Arabidopsis thaliana: one gene and its partners. The protein of the gene in region 3 interacts with the protein of the main gene of each other region in a pairwise test. Each region holds a gene or a part of one and is shown on either strand. Other genes may lie near its edges.

Region 1 (6,070 bases), on a different chromosome or scaffold from region 3:
TTTTAATTAAAAAGATTACATTTCACAACTTATATACAATTGAAAATAGAGAACATCTTAACAATATCCCTATAGTAAATTTTCTTTTAGTCAACTATTTAAAGATTTCAAAATGGTTTATTGTAATCCATGTGATCCGGTCAAAGAATCCAAAATAGTTTAATATCTCTATTTATAGTAGAAGAAAAATAACTAGCTACACAAAATATCGGAGAATGCATGATCACACATGTCAAGCATATTAGTGTATCCCTAGCTATACGAAGTAGATGTATTGTATGACCACATATCTGAACTATACGACGTCATGTAGTTAACACCACAGACATGCAATTCCGGTACACTAATAAATTTACTCCGTTGAAGACCAGTGTTGACCGGCATAGTTGAGGATACTATAGTATAATTGGCATGGGTAAATTAACTAAAAATCATCAATCCATTTATCATAATCCAAATTCTGGTCAAAAGAATCTAAAAATAGTTTCATAAAAATAGTTTCATGTTTCTGTTTACAGTAATAAAATTGATATCTTAGTCATGACCAAATCAATAGCCGCAAGTTATGCTCCCAAAAATTAGCTGTTCATCTTTTACTCCAATCAAAAACATAAAAAAAAAAAAACAATTACAATTTCTATTCTAAGTAAATGTTAAATAAATTTATTAAATTTTACCTCCTAAGACTTCAGTGGTTACACTATTAGAAAATAATTAGATTTGTGTGCCTAAAAGCCTTAGAAGCATGCATTTTTTATGAATAAATAAATTTAGTATTGATTTCGGTATAGAAAATGAAATTAGCAAATTCTTGATATGTGTAACTAAAATAAAATCTTATGTAAAAAACAGAAGCGATAAAGGCAAACATAATTCAAAACTGCGACCAATTCTTATTATCAAAGATTTATGAAACACCAATTAGCTATTAATAGTAAAAATCAAGTGACACTTTCCCTATACTAAATTGTTAATTGTTCGGATTTATAGGCTTAGCTAGTTAAGTATAAATATTAATCCACACTCTTCACACTAATTCAATTTTATCCCTAATAAAAAACTTGAATCTATATATGTGTATCAATATATGTGTATGATATTTAAAGGGGTTTGTAGTCTATTGAAATAAATAAAAGATTCCATTATCCATGATTTTTAATAAGTTACTTCGTAGCATTACTAAACCTATTTACATCATCAACAATACAACTGATTTAATTTCAACTAACTAAAAAATTACCAATTTATTTATCATAAATTCATAATCTAATATCTGGTCAAAAGAATCTAAAAATAGTTTCATGTGTCTATTTATAGTAATAAGATTGATATCTTAGTAATGACCAAATCAATAGCCGCAAATTTTGCTCTGAAAAATTAGTTGTTCGTCTTTACTCTAATCAAAAACATAAATAAAAAATCACAATTTTTATCCAAAGTAAATGTTAAATCAATTTATTAAATTTTAGCTCTTAAGACCTCATTAGTTATATTATTAGAAATTAATTAGATTTGTGTGCTTATAAGCCTTAGAAGCATGCATTTTTTTATGAATAAATAAATTTAATGTTGCTTTCGATATAGAAAACAAAATTAGCACATGCTCGATAAGTGTAACTAAAATAAAACCTCATGTAATAAAAAAAGAAATAAAGGCAAACATAATTTAAAACTGCGACCAATTCTTATTATCAAAGATTCATGAAATATTCAATTAGCTATTAATAGTAAAATCAAGTGACATTTTATTTATACTAAATTGTTAATTGCTCGGTTTTATAGGCTTAGCTAGTTATGTATAAATATGCATCCACACTCATCACACTAATTCAATTTTATCCCTCTTTACTCTTCTTGATAATCGGAGGAAACTAAAAAAGGAAAAAAAAAAATCTAAATAAGAATAAAATTCCTAAAAAATAAATAAATCAAAAATTGTGAAGAAACAAATCCTCGAGTCATGTTGTTTACAGAAAATCTCTTTCTCACTTAAAACCCTTACAGAAACAAATCATCGAATCTTTGTTTTTTTAGAATCAGTGATTTTGTTTCCTTTCACGAGACGAAAATAACAAATCGTCTTGTAAAAAGTAAACTCATAATCATGGCGGCGGCGGTTGCCACAGGTGTTGCACCGGCGACAATGGTTGATCAAGTTCCCAGTCCGACGGCGCAGACTTCGGTTCAGGTTCCGGTTTCAATACCTCTTCCATCCCCGGTCGTGGTAGCCGATCAAACCCACCCGAACTCGTCGCTCTATGCCGGTGATCTGGACCCGAAAGTTACTGAAGCACATCTATTTGATTTGTTCAAACATGTTGCTAATGTCGTCTCGGTAAGAGTTTGCCGCGATCAGAATCGTCGATCTTTGGGATATGCCTACATCAATTTCAGTAACCCTAACGATGGTAAATACAATTCTATATCGCTTCAATTGCAAGTTAGGGTTCATGTCTTGCAAAACAAAATATATATATTATCATGAATTGCATTACAATAAGAAAAAGTGTTTTGATTTGATTTTTTTCAATCTCAATTTTTTATTAGACATGGTAATTAATTTTGATCAGTATCATGTTCCTGTGCGAATCATCTTTTTTTTTGTCTAGAAATTAACATATAATCAATATTCTATATTGTAGTTCATCTCTACTATACCATGATTCTGCTACATTGATATGTTTCGTTTGAATATCAAAGCTACAACATTTATTTTAGTAGTTGATGCATCAGTCTCTTATATTATGATTTTTCTTAATTAGTTCAATTTAATACGTGAAATTTGTTTGAAATTGTTCTTTCAATCTCATTAATTGTAGAAACTATAGGTATTTGTGCATTTATAAATATCATAGATGCTGGTTTTCTATAATGAATTGAGATCTTATTTGCCTATGTTTATATGTTGATTTATGTTTGCAGCTTACCGTGCAATGGAGGCCTTGAACTACACTCCCCTCTTTGATAGGCCCATTCGGATCATGCTTTCGAACCGTGACCCAAGCACGCGATTGAGCGGCAAAGGAAACATTTTCATCAAAAACCTTGACGCTTCAATCGACAACAAGGCCTTGTTCGAGACGTTTTCAAGTTTTGGAACCATCCTCTCATGCAAAGTTGCAATGGACGTGACTGGCCGGTCCAAGGGGTATGGATTTGTCCAGTTCGAGAAGGAGGAATCGGCTCAAGCCGCAATTGACAAGCTAAACGGAATGTTAATGAACGACAAGCAAGTTTTTGTGGGACACTTCATCAGACGTCAAGAGCGTGCTCGTGATGAAAACACCCCTACACCGCGTTTCACTAACGTGTACGTCAAGAATCTCCCCAAGGAGATTGGTGAGGACGAGCTACGAAAAACGTTTGGTAAATTTGGAGTGATATCGAGCGCAGTTGTAATGAGGGACCAGAGCGGAAACTCGAGGTGTTTCGGGTTTGTGAATTTTGAGTGCACTGAAGCAGCGGCTTCGGCGGTTGAGAAGATGAATGGAATTAGCTTAGGGGATGATGTGTTGTACGTTGGGAGGGCGCAAAAGAAGTCTGAGAGAGAGGAAGAGCTAAGAAGGAAGTTTGAGCAAGAGAGGATAAACCGGTTTGAGAAATCTCAAGGAGCGAACCTGTATTTGAAGAATCTTGATGATAGTGTTGATGATGAGAAACTCAAGGAGATGTTCTCTGAGTATGGAAATGTGACATCCTCCAAGGTAATAATTAATTAAAAACTCATACATATATTCATAAATATATATGTTGTTGATGTTACGTTGTCTTTGACACAATCCTTTAACTAATGTAGGTTATGCTTAATCCACAAGGAATGAGCAGAGGATTTGGTTTTGTTGCTTATTCCAATCCTGAAGAAGCTTTAAGAGCCGTGAGTTACTAAAACTATAATATATTCTTCTTTTATTGTTCGTCTCTTTTGATATCTGAGAGATTGTTACATATGAGACAATGCAGCTGAGTGAAATGAATGGGAAGATGATCGGAAGAAAACCTCTATACATAGCTCTTGCGCAGCGCAAAGAAGATAGACGAGCACACTTACAGGTTTTTTAAAAACTCTTTTAACATATTTAAAAGAAATGGGTTTGTTAAAGCTATATGTGTGACTAAGTACATAAGTTTGCAATTTTTTCAGGCGTTGTTTTCACAGATTAGAGCACCAGGGCCAATGTCAGGGTTCCATCACCCGCCAGGTGGACCAATGCCCGGTCCACCTCAACACATGTACGTAGGCCAAAACGGAGCAAGTATGGTCCCGTCCCAGCCCATTGGATATGGATTCCAGCCTCAGTTCATGCCCGGGATGCGTCCAGGTTCTGGCCCGGGCAACTTCATCGTGCCTTATCCGCTTCAAAGACAACCTCAGACCGGTCCTCGTATGGGATTCAGGCGTGGTGCTACTAACGTGCAACAACACATCCAACAACAACAAGTATGTTACTAAACTGAGTCTGTTTATAGTTTTCAACAATCATGAAACTGAGTTGGATTGAATATTGACAGCTTATGCACCGTAACCCGTCCCCGGGAATGAGATATATGAACGGTGCGAGTAACGGGAGGAACGGAATGGATTCGAGTGTTCCTCAAGGAATCTTACCTCCTATCATTCCTTTGCCAATAGATGCTTCTTCGATCTCTCACCAGAAAGCTCCTCTCCTTCCAATCTCTAAGCTCACTTCTTCCTTAGCTTCTGCTAGTCCAGCTGATCGCACTCGGGTTTGCCTCTTTTCCTTCCATCTCAGCTAAACATTTCTTTGTTTTGCGTTTTCTTTTGCATTTGGTGTATAACTTTTGAATAATAAACCCTTAACTCTAAACATATGTTTTCAATTGTTGATGCAAAACCAAACGCAAAGAGAGGTCAGTCACATTTGCATTTTATCTTACAAAATATTTCCTGAATAACTGAAAAATGTTTTGGTGAATTTTGTTTCTTAACATCAAATGTTTGAAAGAATTATGGTCTTATAACAAATAAATAAAAGTTAAAGTCACATAAATATATAGTTGATAGAGATTGGCATATCTATATATTTATATGTTTACTGATTTTTATTTTTAAAAAATTGGTTGGGAACAGATGCTTGGAGAACAACTGTACCCACTTGTGGAAAGGCACGAACCACTTCACGTGGCTAAAGTCACAGGAATGTTGTTGGAGATGGATCAAGCTGAGATCTTGCACCTGATGGAGTCACCAGAGGCACTCAAGTCTAAAGTATCCGAGGCTTTGGATGTTCTCAGGCTATCTGTTGATCCAACTGATCATGATCTTGGTTTCTCTACCACCGACTGAAATTTGCAATGCGTTTGCTCAACTCTGTTTTCTTCTTTTAGTTTTGATATCGACTCCTTTTCTTTTCTTTTTTGGGTTTTAGTCTTCCTTTACTATTTTAGCAGTTTTTTTTTGTTTACTTAGTTTATGGTTTTTGTGTCTTTAACTTAGTTTATGGTGTTTTTCTTTTTCTTTGGACAATGATGATTTCTTAATAATCTGAGTAGACTTCTTCTTCCGAATCCCCAAATAATCCATCTCTACTTGAAATTTAAGTTGTTCGGTATTCATGGTCAGCAACAAGGGACAATCCTTCTATTATGGTAGCAGCCTTCTATTATGAATTTATTCGAATGTGTCTACTCATAATTTGTGGTTTGTATTTCAACTTGTAGTTGATATCAATTATATGCACACAGACTTTTTCTTTTTGAGGGGTTGGAAGCAAGCGATTCAATGATTGTACCACTCATTTCATAATAGTGTTTGATATGACGTTAATTTGAATGGTTTATGTTGATCGAAAATACTCTCAGTCACAACAAGAATCTAATTCGATTAATTTATTTGAAAAACATATGTTGGCATGGTACATGAACCAGCTCGTTCATATGAAAATATTTTAAAAAGTCAACATCAGTGCTAATTTCAAATTGACCATACATTAGCACACAAGAAGACTAACAAAAAAAATGAGTGAATAAAGAAGAGAGTGAGTGGGGTTGATACATGTCACCGTCCAAAATGTGTCTGACCCTTCTCATTGGAGCTACAAGAGCCGACCCT
Region 2 (5,815 bases), on a different chromosome or scaffold from region 3:
TTTTCCTTTATTTTTCTTTTTGAAAGTCACGTAAATGAGGCTTTTAAAACAAATTAAAAGCTTTTCGTTTTCTTCTCTAAACATAATTAAAAGTTCTCTACAAATTACATATTTCTTTTTTCAAAACGTTTTTGATTAATAATTATTATCAAGTTACTAATTTTTTTTTAAGATCCATTTCACTAATAATAATTTTATTTTTTATCATCAACACTAATAAAGTTAGATGTCATTTCATTATCATTAATAAATTTGTTGATTTTATGATAAGTCAAAAAAATCATTCAAAACAGTTTTGAGAAAAAAATTTAGCCATAAGAATCATTCAAGATGAGTATTTTAATTATTAATGTGTTTGGATATTAAGTGTTTGGATATTAAGTGCATGAAACAATAAATATAAATAATGCAATGTTTGGTCTTTTAAAAATGAATGAATAATATATATTTTTAAAAATCAGTAATAAAGTTTTATTGTTACTAATAAAAAATAACAGTCACAGCTTCTACAACTTTGTTTTACCAATCTGATTTTAACAGCCAAAGTCTTTACAGCTAAATTCTTTGTACCTCAAATTTTTAAAGTCAAACCTTCTAAAGCCAAAAATAACGGTCGTTACCAATCTGTTAAAAAAATTTACCTTCTGAATTAGCATAAACTGATTTCGGTATACCATGTTTCAATTTCTTCTGACTGAAAATAGAAGAGATGATATTGTTATTACACATTTCACGCTGAAGAGATACTAAAAACAGTTAGAAAGGCAAAAAGAGTTATGTTCGATCGACTAATTTTAAATTATGCAAGATTGGGCCCAATACAGGCTAGAATTTCGGTCCATAATTTTCCAAGACATCAAGAAACTGGTTCACAAGATTTGTTGGCCCATTTTTAATTATCTACTATCTTTAGCCTCTATTATCCTTGACTGAGGTATGAAGTTGCAACATAACGATTTCGAAACTTCTTAAAACTTTTCTCATAACGCAAGCTAGAAAAGGTTTTTTAAAAAGTCCCCCATGTTTTTAGTTTCATGCATTACATCACATATTCACATGTATGTGGAGAGATAGATAACCAAATTGTTAGATAACTGCATGTTATTTAAAATTTTATGTGTTCTTTTAGAAAAAGAGCACCATTTTATATTTTTTGCAAATTAATCAAAAACTTTACAACTTCTTAGCTATTTTCATAAATTTGCATGGTCATTCAATGGTATTTACTAATAATAATTAAATATGTCTGAACGAACATATTTTTTTTTGACAGTTACTACAGCTATTTCATATTTTATCCTTTTTATACAAAAATCACTTCACTTTCTAATTTACCTTGCAGAAAATTTACTACAGTACATACTAATAATTTTAACAAATTTTCTTAAATAAAACATCACTACACTTACACTGATTCTTGTTTTTCTAATCTCATTAGTAATTACTCCTCATTAGTCTGAATACGGTTATATATTTTTGAGCACAAATACTTTTGCCCAATAAAATAAAATAAAATGGTAAGATATTTCCCAACGCATATTTTATACAAGTGTGTGACCCACAACAAGACACACTACAGTGTAAATCCAACGGCTGAGATTTCTCAAATTACCATCAAAGCTTTTAGGGTTTGGTGAAACCTTCCATATATAAACACTGAAACCTCCAAGTTGTCTTTCCTCTTTGCAGTTTTTTTTCATTTGAGCTTCTCTCTGATAAGGTCACTTCCTCTGACCCTTTTATCTAAGCTCAACGCTGCAACTCTCGCCGTCGGTTACTTCCCCATTTTCCTTCCTTCTTCCGATTCAAAGACTCAATTTTTATTCTCCGGCGTTGAGGATTCATCTCCTAAAAATCTCTGCTTTATCTTTTGATTTGAGCTGATTTGGAGAGGAGAAGAAGATAGATAGATAGGTAATTCGGATTGATATCTCGAAAAATGGCTCAGATTCAGCATCAGGGTCAAAATGCCAATGGTGGTGTAGCTGTTCCCGGTGCTGCTGCGGCTGAAGCTGCGGCGGCTGCGGCTGGAGCTGCGGCGGCGGCTGCCGGAGCTGCGCAGCAAGGGACGACGTCTTTATATGTCGGTGATCTGGATGCGACCGTGACGGATTCACAGCTGTTTGAGGCGTTTACCCAAGCGGGTCAGGTGGTTTCTGTCCGTGTCTGCAGAGACATGACGACTCGGAGATCTCTAGGCTATGGCTACGTTAACTATGCAACTCCTCAAGATGGTAACTTTCTTAAGGCTTATCTGATTTGGTAACTTAGTCGTTGTAGCTCATCTGAATTTGGGGTATGGACTGATGTGTTATATCAAATGCTAATCTAAATTTGGGAGCTTTCTATAAAAAAGGTGAAAGCTTTCAGGTTAATTTGGAAAGTGGTTACATTTGGTAACATTGTGGGCTTTCAGGGTATTTGGCTGTTAGGGAGGATAGTTTTCTTTTGAGGTCATAGAGTTAGAGTTATGACCTCAATGTTATGAGTAGACTCAATGTTATTCTTCTTACAGAAATGAATGATTTGAGTTATGTTGATGTTAATATTTCTGATTGGTGACAGCTTCCAGGGCACTGAATGAGCTGAATTTCATGGCTCTTAATGGAAGGGCTATAAGAGTTATGTATTCTGTTCGTGATCCAAGTCTCCGTAAGAGCGGAGTTGGTAATATATTTATTAAGGTACATATATTAAATCTCTTTTTCCTATTGTCCAAGTTTGAACTTCTATGCAGAGATGGAAAGAAACCTTGGCTTGTTTAATATCCTATCTCAAAGTTTGTTTGTTTATTGACATGGTTTATTATCTGTGTCTCAGAATCTTGACAAATCAATTGATCACAAAGCACTTCACGAGACATTTTCAGCCTTTGGTCCCATTCTATCTTGCAAAGTGGCCGTTGATCCCTCTGGTCAGTCGAAAGGCTATGGGTTTGTGCAGTACGACACTGATGAAGCAGCTCAGGGAGCCATTGATAAACTGAATGGAATGCTTCTTAACGATAAGCAAGTTTATGTTGGACCCTTTGTTCACAAGCTGCAGAGAGATCCTTCGGGTGAGAAAGTTAAGTTCACTAATGTTTATGTCAAAAATCTCTCCGAGTCCTTGAGTGATGAAGAGCTTAACAAAGTTTTTGGAGAGTTCGGAGTGACTACTAGTTGTGTTATCATGAGAGATGGTGAAGGAAAGTCTAAAGGCTTTGGATTTGTCAATTTTGAGAATTCTGATGATGCAGCCAGAGCTGTTGACGCTCTAAATGGAAAGACCTTTGACGACAAGGAGTGGTTTGTTGGGAAGGCCCAAAAGAAGTCCGAGAGGGAAACTGAACTCAAACAAAAGTTTGAGCAAAGTTTGAAGGAGGCTGCAGACAAGTCTCAGGGGTCGAACTTATATGTTAAGAACTTGGATGAGAGCGTCACAGATGATAAGCTCAGAGAACATTTTGCTCCCTTTGGAACTATTACATCATGCAAGGTCCGTGACTGATACAATAAAAAGCGCTGCTTGTTACTATCTTCAGCAGATTTGCATTAAAATGTATTACATTTGAACGTGACAGGTGATGCGTGACCCCAGTGGAGTGAGTAGAGGATCTGGATTTGTCGCATTTTCAACTCCTGAGGAAGCAACTAGAGCTGTAAGTGACTAGAATATAAAGAAGACATGTCAAATTTTGGTGATCTCCTATTCTCTGGAAGGATCTTGATGCTTAACACTGTCTTCTTTTCAATGTTTCAGATTACAGAGATGAATGGAAAAATGATCGTTACCAAACCTCTATATGTTGCTCTTGCGCAGCGGAAAGAAGACCGCAAAGCTAGGTTACAGGTCTGGTTAATTTACCCATGTTGTTATCCTTGAAAAGGATTATCCTAATCCCATGCTTATCGTGCTTAATTTGACCTCTCTGGCATTTTAGGCTCAATTTTCACAGATGAGGCCGGTCAATATGCCACCTGCGGTTGGTCCTAGGATGCAAATGTATCCACCAGGTGGTCCACCAATGGGTCAGCAACTCTTCTATGGTCAAGGGCCTCCTGCTATGATTCCTCAGGTAAAGCTCAAAGCTTTAAGCATAAAACATTTGAGACCAATCTTTATAACTTTCTTCTCCAACTGGGTATCGAACAGCCTGGATTCGGATATCAACAACAGCTTGTACCGGGTATGAGACCTGGTGGGTCTCCAATGCCAAACTTCTTCATGCCTATGATGCAACAAGGCCAGCAACAGCAACAGCAGCAACAGCAGCAGCAGCGACCTGGTGGTGGTAGAAGAGGAGCTCTTCCACAACCACAACAACCTTCTCCTATGATGCAGCAGCAGGTTAAGTTTTGCTTTAGGCCCAAGACTTTCTCCACATGTTTAAAATCGATAGCATGCTTACATTTTGCATCAATCTGTTTCTCTACAGATGCATCCAAGAGGTCGAATGTATCGGTATCCTCAGCGAGATGTAAACACAATGCCTGGTCCTACTCAAAACATGCTTTCTGTTCCATATGACGTCTCAAGTGGTGGTGGTGTGCATCATCGTGACTCGCCTACTTCTCAACCTGTTCCTATTGTAGCTTTGGCTACACGGCTTGCGAATGCAGCTCCAGAGCAACAGAGAACGGTAAAGTCAAATGATTTGTTTCTAACAGCTCGGAAACAACTAAGAAAAATGTGTCTTTCTTAAACCTGTTATGTTTCTTCGTTATACAGATGCTTGGTGAGAATCTATACCCGCTTGTGGAGCAGCTGGAGCCAGAATCCGCAGCTAAAGTCACGGGAATGCTTCTTGAAATGGACCAAACCGAAGTACTTCACTTGCTGGAATCACCAGAGGCACTTAAAGCTAAAGTTACAGAAGCAATGGATGTTCTGAGGAGTGTAGCACAGCAGCAAGCGGGTGGTGCAGCTGATCAGTTAGCTTCTCTGTCTCTTGGAGACAACATCGTACCTTGAGAGTTCTAAGTTATATCTGAAAGAGCTCAGTTTATATACACTGTAAAAGTGTTTATTTTGTTCTTTTGGAGAATCAGAAACAGAGTTGTTCTTGAAAGTTTTGGATTTTTGAGTTTTTGTTTTGGGCGAGAGTTTTAACATTTTCCTTCTGTGTTTTTGATTTTCTTAATACTTTGGGAAGTTTTGTATCGTTACTCTCACCTTTTTTTACCTACACTGCTCATTTGATAGGGTATTGTTTGGCTTTTGTCTAGAGTTTCGACTTTTGGGTATAAAATTTGGTTTAAAAGCTTCGAATGATCAATGTAACAATAAGTTTACAGGGCTTTTCTAGGAAATTATTCTTGCTTCCGAAAACAGACTGGGAGAAATCAAACGGGCCTTGGAATAACCTTATCGACTTAGTTACTGAATTGGCCTTGGCCTGACCATAACAACCTATATCTCATCACGAAACTTGGCCTTTGCTTGGTAAAGTTTAAGCTCTTGGTTTTGATGAGATAAGGTCTCTAGCCGAAAGTGTTACATAATTCATAAGACCCATGCATGTAGTAATATTTGCATTCACATACTTGACAATTGACATACTCGAGTTTTGTTCCATATTCTTCATCGTGTTCTTTGATGGCTGTTTCTATGAGAATTTGAGCAGCTCTTCATTGCTCTGTTTATCATCTATAGATGGTTTCCAGTCAAAGTTAACAACAGATAACACGTAGTTAAAACTATCCTAGTTCACATCAAAACCCTCGCTATCTTCAAATTGTTTGTAAAAAAGCTTTCGTTGTCTCCTACATTCAAGAAGACCAAACCTGGTGGCAGAGGATCAATCTCCTTTGCATCTTGGGAATCGTTGGAAACA
Region 3 (6,984 bases):
GTCTCATTTCGGTATCCATACTGAAAAGAAAGAAACAAACTTAGCAAATTCATCGGTTTTTCTATCATAGCGGATGACCGTAAAATATGTTAGTTGGTTTCGTGAAAAGTTGTTGAAAATACATCGAAAACATGATTCGCAATTGAACTAAGTGATTATAAGGTAAATTCTAGATGAAGATTGGTGACCCAACATCATTCGTAAGTGTCAAGCTCAAGCCACGGTTAAAATCTCCACTTTAAAGCAAAAACAATAAATGTTGAGAGAGACTCGTAAAAAAGTAAAAAATAAACAACTCAATGCAGTCACCTAACCTAATAATATATGCGACTGGTAAAACTAGGTTTGATTCCATTTTATTTTTTTCTTGTGGAATCTTAAAACATGAATGTGTTGCCCACCAAATCATATACACCGAGTCATATCGATCATCATGATAATAATCGCGAGACAACTACTTATAGTAACGTTTAACGACTTATTGAAAAAAGCATGCCCTACAACAACACCAAAAATGACTAGTTCTGCCTGCTTTGAAATCGTTGTTACTCTTCTATTCTTTTCATCTAAACCGCATCCTTTTTGGATTTTAGATAACAAAATCACCCAGAAATTTAGCACAACACACACAAAAAAATATGCAGACGACGAAGTAAAAGACGCATGAGAGCAACCTACACTCTAAATTTTATATCTCTGATACAGCCAAAAAAAAGGAGAGAGTGCACTCAGTACTACAGACTTCAGATAGATCGTTTTTTTTCTTTCTTTTTTTCTTTCTTTTTGTTTTCAACACGAAATACCAAAATCAGTAGGCGAATCTAAAAAAGAGAAGAAAATGGTTTCAGTGATTGGGTAAGGGAGAGTGGATAAAACCAGAGAGGGGTTCGTACACTTCCTTCACAAAAAAAAAAAACATCATCACCATCGGGTAGTAGTAGTTATTACTCTCGTCCTTTATTATGATATGGCATGTCCTGCAAAACACACACATACAGAGATGAGATTTCAGCATCCAAAAGTTTTAACTCTTCGACTATGTAAAAGAAAAATAAAAAAAGAACAAAAAGAGGGAATCTACTATTAGCAAAAATAATAACCTGCGGGTAAGGAGGAGGATGCATGTAATAAACTGGCCTAGGATGCTGCTGACCAGGTATCATTTGCTGCTGCTGCTGACCAGGTATCATTTGCTGCTGTGGGTACTACATCACAATTCCAATTCCAATCACCATTAGACTTTTGATGTTTTTTTTTTTTTTTTGTGTATGTGTGTGGGAATAGTAATTCAATAGGGCTTGTGTGTTACTGTCAAACCTGAGGTTGTCCATTTGGATGATAATAGGCTTGAGGATGATACATCATCTGTGGTTGGTTGCCAGGATATGGCGGGAGCTGCCAATTTTCACATGGTGAGTTTTGAAAACATAACTCGGTTGGGTTTATATAATATATAACAAACGGAACTTACTCCGTAATTAACAGGCGGCATTCCAGGCATCTGCTGAACAGGAACATGACTAGGACCAGGGTAGTAGAATGAGGCATCTGCGATTGGAGATTGAGGTGGTGCAGCAGCTGACTGCAATGGTTTGAAACTCTTAGCCTTTGGATTGAGTTTGAATTCCTGATCAGACCCAACGACCCATAATTAGTAAAAACACACACACAGTTAACACTTTATCAAGTTTGAACATCAAACAAAATACCTTTGCATTCGGATTCAGTGTGGACTTTTCTGATGAGGCCATAGAACCAATTGACGAGCTCGGTGATAGCCCAGGACGACTTGATGTTGAAGGACCTGGGCGACTTTCTGAACTTCTAGAAGCAGACTGCCCGAAAGAGCTTTCAGATTTTGTTTTACTAGAAACTTGACTGGCTTCTCTTTCTCTCTCAGTAACAGCCTTAGACACCGAGGATGCACCACCACCAGATTTTGCACCTTCTTTGATATCTACATTCCACAATACATATTTACATAAAGCCTACAACCAGTTTCCTAATTAGATGGACGTTTCATAACAGGTCACCACTCCTTGTGTAAAAAAGAACATTTCTAAATTCCATTTAGCAACCTTAACAGAATCCACCATAGATTGTCCATTGAGATAAACGTGATAATAAATTATAGCGTCAGATCAAGAAAAACTGGAGTCATGCTAGTAAAAATGAAAGGTAATTCATCGTATACAACAAGAAAACACGTATGTTAATAAAAATGAAAGTAGCGTATACCTCCATGACCAGAAGTTGATTCCTCAGCTGACTATGTTAATACAGAAGGAAGCCAAATAACCAATGTTAAAAATTATAGAACAACAATGAAACGCAAAATGCAATCATGATTAAACGGCATAATCAACATGGACTTGTCATTACTCTGTTATTGTGTGAAACCTCTTCGTTATTCTTTCTTCTTTGCTCATCTAGCTGGCTCTCACTATTATGCCAAGAGGAACTCCCAATGTGAGATATATTTTAGATGATTTTCCAGATGTGTAGCTTAATTGCAAGAAAAATAAGACCTGATATTGCTGCCTGCGGCAGGAAAATCTTTGGATTGCTGTTTAGAGGTTGAGCAGCTTTGATCTACATTTTTATTTTTCCGAGAAGACTGACTGTCACCCTGAAAGAAAATGAATAGCAACATCACCAACTCGTTCAGCTATTAACTACTATCAAAGACGAACTCACCGATACCCGTAATTCTTCACAGCCCTTGCCACTAGAAGCTGGCTTCTGGCCATCAGAAGTAGATGAGCCACCAAAAGTCAGATCGTTGCAAGTATCCAGCAATGCGTTGTCCTCCAAATCAAACCCACTATCACCAAATCCAGTGACTGGACGGACAGATGAGTATCTGGCTTCCTCGTCAAAATCAAAGTTCTCATTAAGCTGAAGGCCTCTTTCCTGCATGCATGAATAGTTACGAATTTAAACTTATAACACCAAAAAAACATAGGAATCAAGGTGAAATCAAACCCCCAAATTACCTCTGCTACATGAATATCTCGGGTAGTCTCAGCCTCGATCTCTCTCGCAATCTTCTGGGCATGCTCTTCCAACTGTTTAGTCTGAGGACCTCTCTCAAGTCTTGTGGTATAGAGGTCCTCGTCGAAAGTGCTTTTTACTCCAAACAGTGACTTATTCACCTCAAACTGATTCCATTTCCTACAAGCAGAAACGGATCAGCTGAGAGATATCAAGGACAGAAAAGACAGGTAACCACACAGCAAAGATTACTCATATATAAGAAACATAACTATCAAAACAATATTCTTCCTAATCTTTGAGACATTCACCATGGGCTGTTCCTCACAATATAATATATGCTTTCACTAAATAGTAGAATTCTAGCTTTAGATATAGAAAGAGAATTGCTTTCCAAAAGGAATATACGGAATTTCTAAAGTGCAAGCACAAACATAATCTATTCATTCCCACCATCTCTCATCTAAATTGGTCAGCTAAGAAACCGTGATCTGAAAATCTAGCTGACAAATCAACATACCAAACATTCAATAAGTATAAATTTGACAAAAAATTTAAATATATATGTGCGTGTGTGTGTGTGTGTGCGTATATTACCTATTCCAAGGGTTATCAAACACATTCTCCAAATCTGCACCGTGTGGAATAGTCTCATCAGGTACCCAGCGTTGCAGCTGCCTTTCCCGATCAACATGATAAGACTGTGATATAGAAGAGTCTGTCAACAGCTCCGATGGTTTCTCACCCTGAACCGCATTTGACATGTTGTTCGAGGATACAGAGAGATCCTAACACCAAAATCAATGATATAAAGTAATGACAATGTCAAAACTCAAAGTAGTCTCTCTGCAATATAACACATTGACATAAACTTAAAACAATAAATATTTCCCTTCAGTTTATAAAAGCAGGCACACCTTAGCTATAACTTGCACAAGTTCATCTGCCGGAATAATGAATGTCTTGGAAGGCGGCTTCCTGACAAATTCGGAACGGGATTTATGTCCTCGTAAAGTACCGTCTTTAATCAAGCATGCCATCTTTAGAATGATTCCTGGAAGTTTCAAGCAATTTTATACATTGCAAGAAAAAGTAGTGTGAATTTGTATGTGCAGCTCTATAAGGAAAAAAATTCTGATTCAGAGCCTCACCAAAATCCTTCTCTACATTGGCAGCATGAAATATACCGGTATACACTGATCCATTCCTTAGATGCACTTCCACATGATGCCCGATCTTACATGTTGTGAAGTACACTAACCGATCAAGTGAAAGCCTCTTCAAGCTTCCAGCTTCCCCATTGAATACTGAATACATATCAACATGCATGAGGACTCAGAATATGACGTTGCACATAAATCACAGAATATCAACAGCTAACCTGTATTTGATGTATTTGTCTTATGTAAAACTTCCTCTGTTTCACCTCTTTTGAGTGGAAATCCATTTGATGAAGATTTCGACTGAGGAATACTCATTGCAGCCTTAGACTGTTCTAACTAACAAGGGTAAAAAAAAACAGTTATTGAAACCCATGACATTCGTAATTGCTCAACTGACGCAGAAACTATAAATAGAAGGTTACCATTGAAACCGATGATTACTATCTAACAGCAAAATACAATCAGTGAACAGCCTCGCATCGCCATTACAGAAAAATAAACATAAAACAACACTTGCTTGGCTTCATTCATCAAACATGCCGATTAGTCTAGAAAACGTTGTGGATGAAAGAAAGAAAGATAGTGTTGATTTCAACCATTAATCCGCAGCACAAACAATTAAGAAATGGAAACAAAATCAAAGAGTTTTCAGCACAAACAGACGCAAAAAAAGGAAGGCATAACAGTGAATCAAAGATACAATCATCTGCAATCATGAAATAGGATCTCCAACGTATTCGAGCTAGAGCTAGGTATTCCAGTAAAACAAACCCTAAATCATCAAATTCCCAATAACGCGGAAGAATAAAGAAGCAATGAAGATAAACTAAAAATCCAGATATAAGAATCGAAGAAGAGGATATTTACCTCAGAAAGCTAACCCGATCAGAAACCAAAACGCCTCTGCAACACCGATTAAAGAAATGCTTCCGAAAGGAGAGGGACGAGCTCGATTAGTTTCCAACGCAGCGAGTTAGGGTTTCGGAGAGAGCTAGGGTTTACGAGGAGAGAGTGACGGTAAACGATTCACCATGAATCTAAAGAGCGAAAGATAATCGGAGAGAGTGATCGGAGCTGAGCTAACTCTTTGATTTTCCGCAGGAAGCAAAATCATGAAAGGAAAGAACAGCTAGCTACACGAAACAGATCGTTGTGTAGAGTACCAATCACCTACGGGCAAGTGCATGGTACAACTATATTTGGGCCTTAATGGGCTCAACATGGGCTATAAACTGAGTTTGAGAAACTTTATAGGCCTCAACTTTTGAATGTCAAGCTTTTATGTTTTCTTTTTCTGTCTTTTCTTTCTTTTCTTTGATCGATCATTTTACCTTAGCCATTAAGAACTTCTAAATCTTTTAACACACATAAAACATAAAGGATCAAGCCTTCGATTGTAATTTACCTTTATTTCATTTGTGGAAAGAAATCAGCAAGAATAAAGAGTTTTTGTAAAAGCAAGTAACCTGAAGCAAAGGATACTTCAAATTCGAAATGAACTTTTAAAAGGGTATGGTTTGCTTAATGATGGGGATAATGTTAACTTGACTTTCAAAATGGGTTATAATGAAAGTGCTTAAGCCTTGAAGGAGACAGAAAAGGTTGGGGGAAAAAGCATTAATAGGCTTAGTTGGAAAAACAACTCTATAAAGTTTAAATGATTATTTAATAATAACAAGCTTGAATCTAAATATTACATGCTTCATTTGCATGTCTCATCATCACTTGTTTTTATTTTTGATAAAATCACTTTATACCTTTTTTCAGTTTCTAAGGTGCAATATGCTATTTGTCACCATAAAGCTAGGCATAAATACTAATGATCATAATTGATCAAATTAAATATATAATCAGAAAAGCATCACTAGAAAAATACTCCAAAATTACTTAAACATGGATTAGTTGGAGAATTCTGAAATATTATTAAAATGATGAAATACAAAAAAACTGGTGTGGCCAATAAAAAGTATAAGAGTTACATGTATGAAACATTACACTTTTCAAAGTTGTACCTCTCTAATTAGCAATGGAACATACACTTTTTTTTTTTTTTTTTGACAACTTAGTGTCCAGACCACACAGTGATCTGACTAGTCCACTGGGTTTAAGCCCGCGACCAGGAATTTTTAAACATCTACTTAATGGCTCCCTGGAACTGGTGGTCTGAGGCGCTAGAGCAAATCCGCATGTTAATTCTCTGGTGACCAGAAATCGAATCCGGGTGTCGGACGTCTCAGTCGAGGTTCCTTTACCACCAGACCACGATACCTGGTTGGAACATACACTTGAAAAAGATAAGACAGAAATCTTAAGACTATACGAGTATTATGTTCAATTTAACATGGGGTGAAAGAGAGATCATCATAAAGTATTATTTGTAACGGATAGGTCATAGTTATAGCTATAAGATACGAGCTAACATTAAAATGGAAAGAGAAAGAACAATATCAAACAAGAAAACACAGATCATTCACGTGGTATGGTAAAAATTAAATTAATTTATATTTTGCAGTATCGGATCTGATCATTCATTGCTATAAAAACTGTTTTCTTTTGTCCTAATTTAAAAAAATGTTTCAGCTGTATTAGTGAAAAAAATAGAGAAAGCAAGCCAAAAAAAAAACTAAAAACATTAACTACGAATTGTAAAATAGTGTATGGTAAGAAACTCCACAGAGTGTAGTTAATTCTCGCCCGTTGCTTCACGGCGCTCCTGTGACCAAATCTGACATTATATAGACTCGTAAATATTCCTTTTTAGGTTTTTGCATTCATATTTGAATGCAGTTGATTTAAAATAATTTAAACGACTAGTTGCCTCTAAATG

Evidence for each region. The genes of interacting proteins can lie anywhere in the genome.
Region 1: the proteins of CID4 (region 3) and PAB3 interact in a two-hybrid assay, tested with the Arabidopsis thaliana proteins (one large-scale study listed by BioGRID).
Region 2: the proteins of CID4 (region 3) and PAB8 interact in a two-hybrid assay, tested with the Arabidopsis thaliana proteins (one large-scale study listed by BioGRID).

What each region holds. Positions count from the first base shown.
Region 1 is NC_003070.9:8,053,495-8,059,564, forward strand, and holds PAB3 (poly(A) binding protein 3), read left to right. Parts: upstream 1-1,830; 5' UTR 1,831-2,104; coding exon 2,105-2,408; intron 2,409-2,922; coding exon 2,923-3,704; intron 3,705-3,796; coding exon 3,797-3,874; intron 3,875-3,960; coding exon 3,961-4,050; intron 4,051-4,141; coding exon 4,142-4,438; intron 4,439-4,509; coding exon 4,510-4,725; intron 4,726-5,089; coding exon 5,090-5,305; 3' UTR 5,306-5,566; downstream 5,567-6,070. UniProt on the Arabidopsis thaliana protein: Binds the poly(A) tail of mRNA. Appears to be an important mediator of the multiple roles of the poly(A) tail in mRNA biogenesis, stability and translation. In the cytoplasm, affects both translation and mRNA decay.
Region 2 is NC_003070.9:18,414,801-18,420,615, forward strand, and holds PAB8 (poly(A) binding protein 8), read left to right. Parts: upstream 1-1,674; 5' UTR 1,675-1,939; coding exon 1,940-2,234; intron 2,235-2,565; coding exon 2,566-2,684; intron 2,685-2,820; coding exon 2,821-3,477; intron 3,478-3,562; coding exon 3,563-3,640; intron 3,641-3,741; coding exon 3,742-3,831; intron 3,832-3,922; coding exon 3,923-4,057; intron 4,058-4,134; coding exon 4,135-4,329; intron 4,330-4,417; coding exon 4,418-4,621; intron 4,622-4,710; coding exon 4,711-4,953; 3' UTR 4,954-5,311; downstream 5,312-5,815. UniProt on the Arabidopsis thaliana protein: Binds the poly(A) tail of mRNA. Appears to be an important mediator of the multiple roles of the poly(A) tail in mRNA biogenesis, stability and translation.
Region 3 is NC_003074.8:4,634,652-4,641,635, reverse strand, and holds CID4 (CTC-interacting domain 4), read right to left. Parts: upstream 5,345-6,984; 5' UTR 4,583-5,344; coding exon 4,580-4,582; intron 4,494-4,579; coding exon 4,376-4,493; intron 4,302-4,375; coding exon 4,146-4,301; intron 4,049-4,145; coding exon 3,912-4,048; intron 3,783-3,911; coding exon 3,592-3,782; intron 3,175-3,591; coding exon 2,997-3,174; intron 2,914-2,996; coding exon 2,698-2,913; intron 2,630-2,697; coding exon 2,529-2,629; intron 2,444-2,528; coding exon 2,383-2,443; intron 2,270-2,382; coding exon 2,239-2,269; intron 1,958-2,238; coding exon 1,710-1,957; intron 1,628-1,709; coding exon 1,472-1,627; intron 1,396-1,471; coding exon 1,318-1,395; coding exon of another isoform or gene 1,312-1,317; exon of another isoform or gene 1,239-1,311; intron 1,206-1,238; coding exon 1,101-1,205; intron 978-1,100; coding exon 945-977; 3' UTR 510-944; downstream 1-509.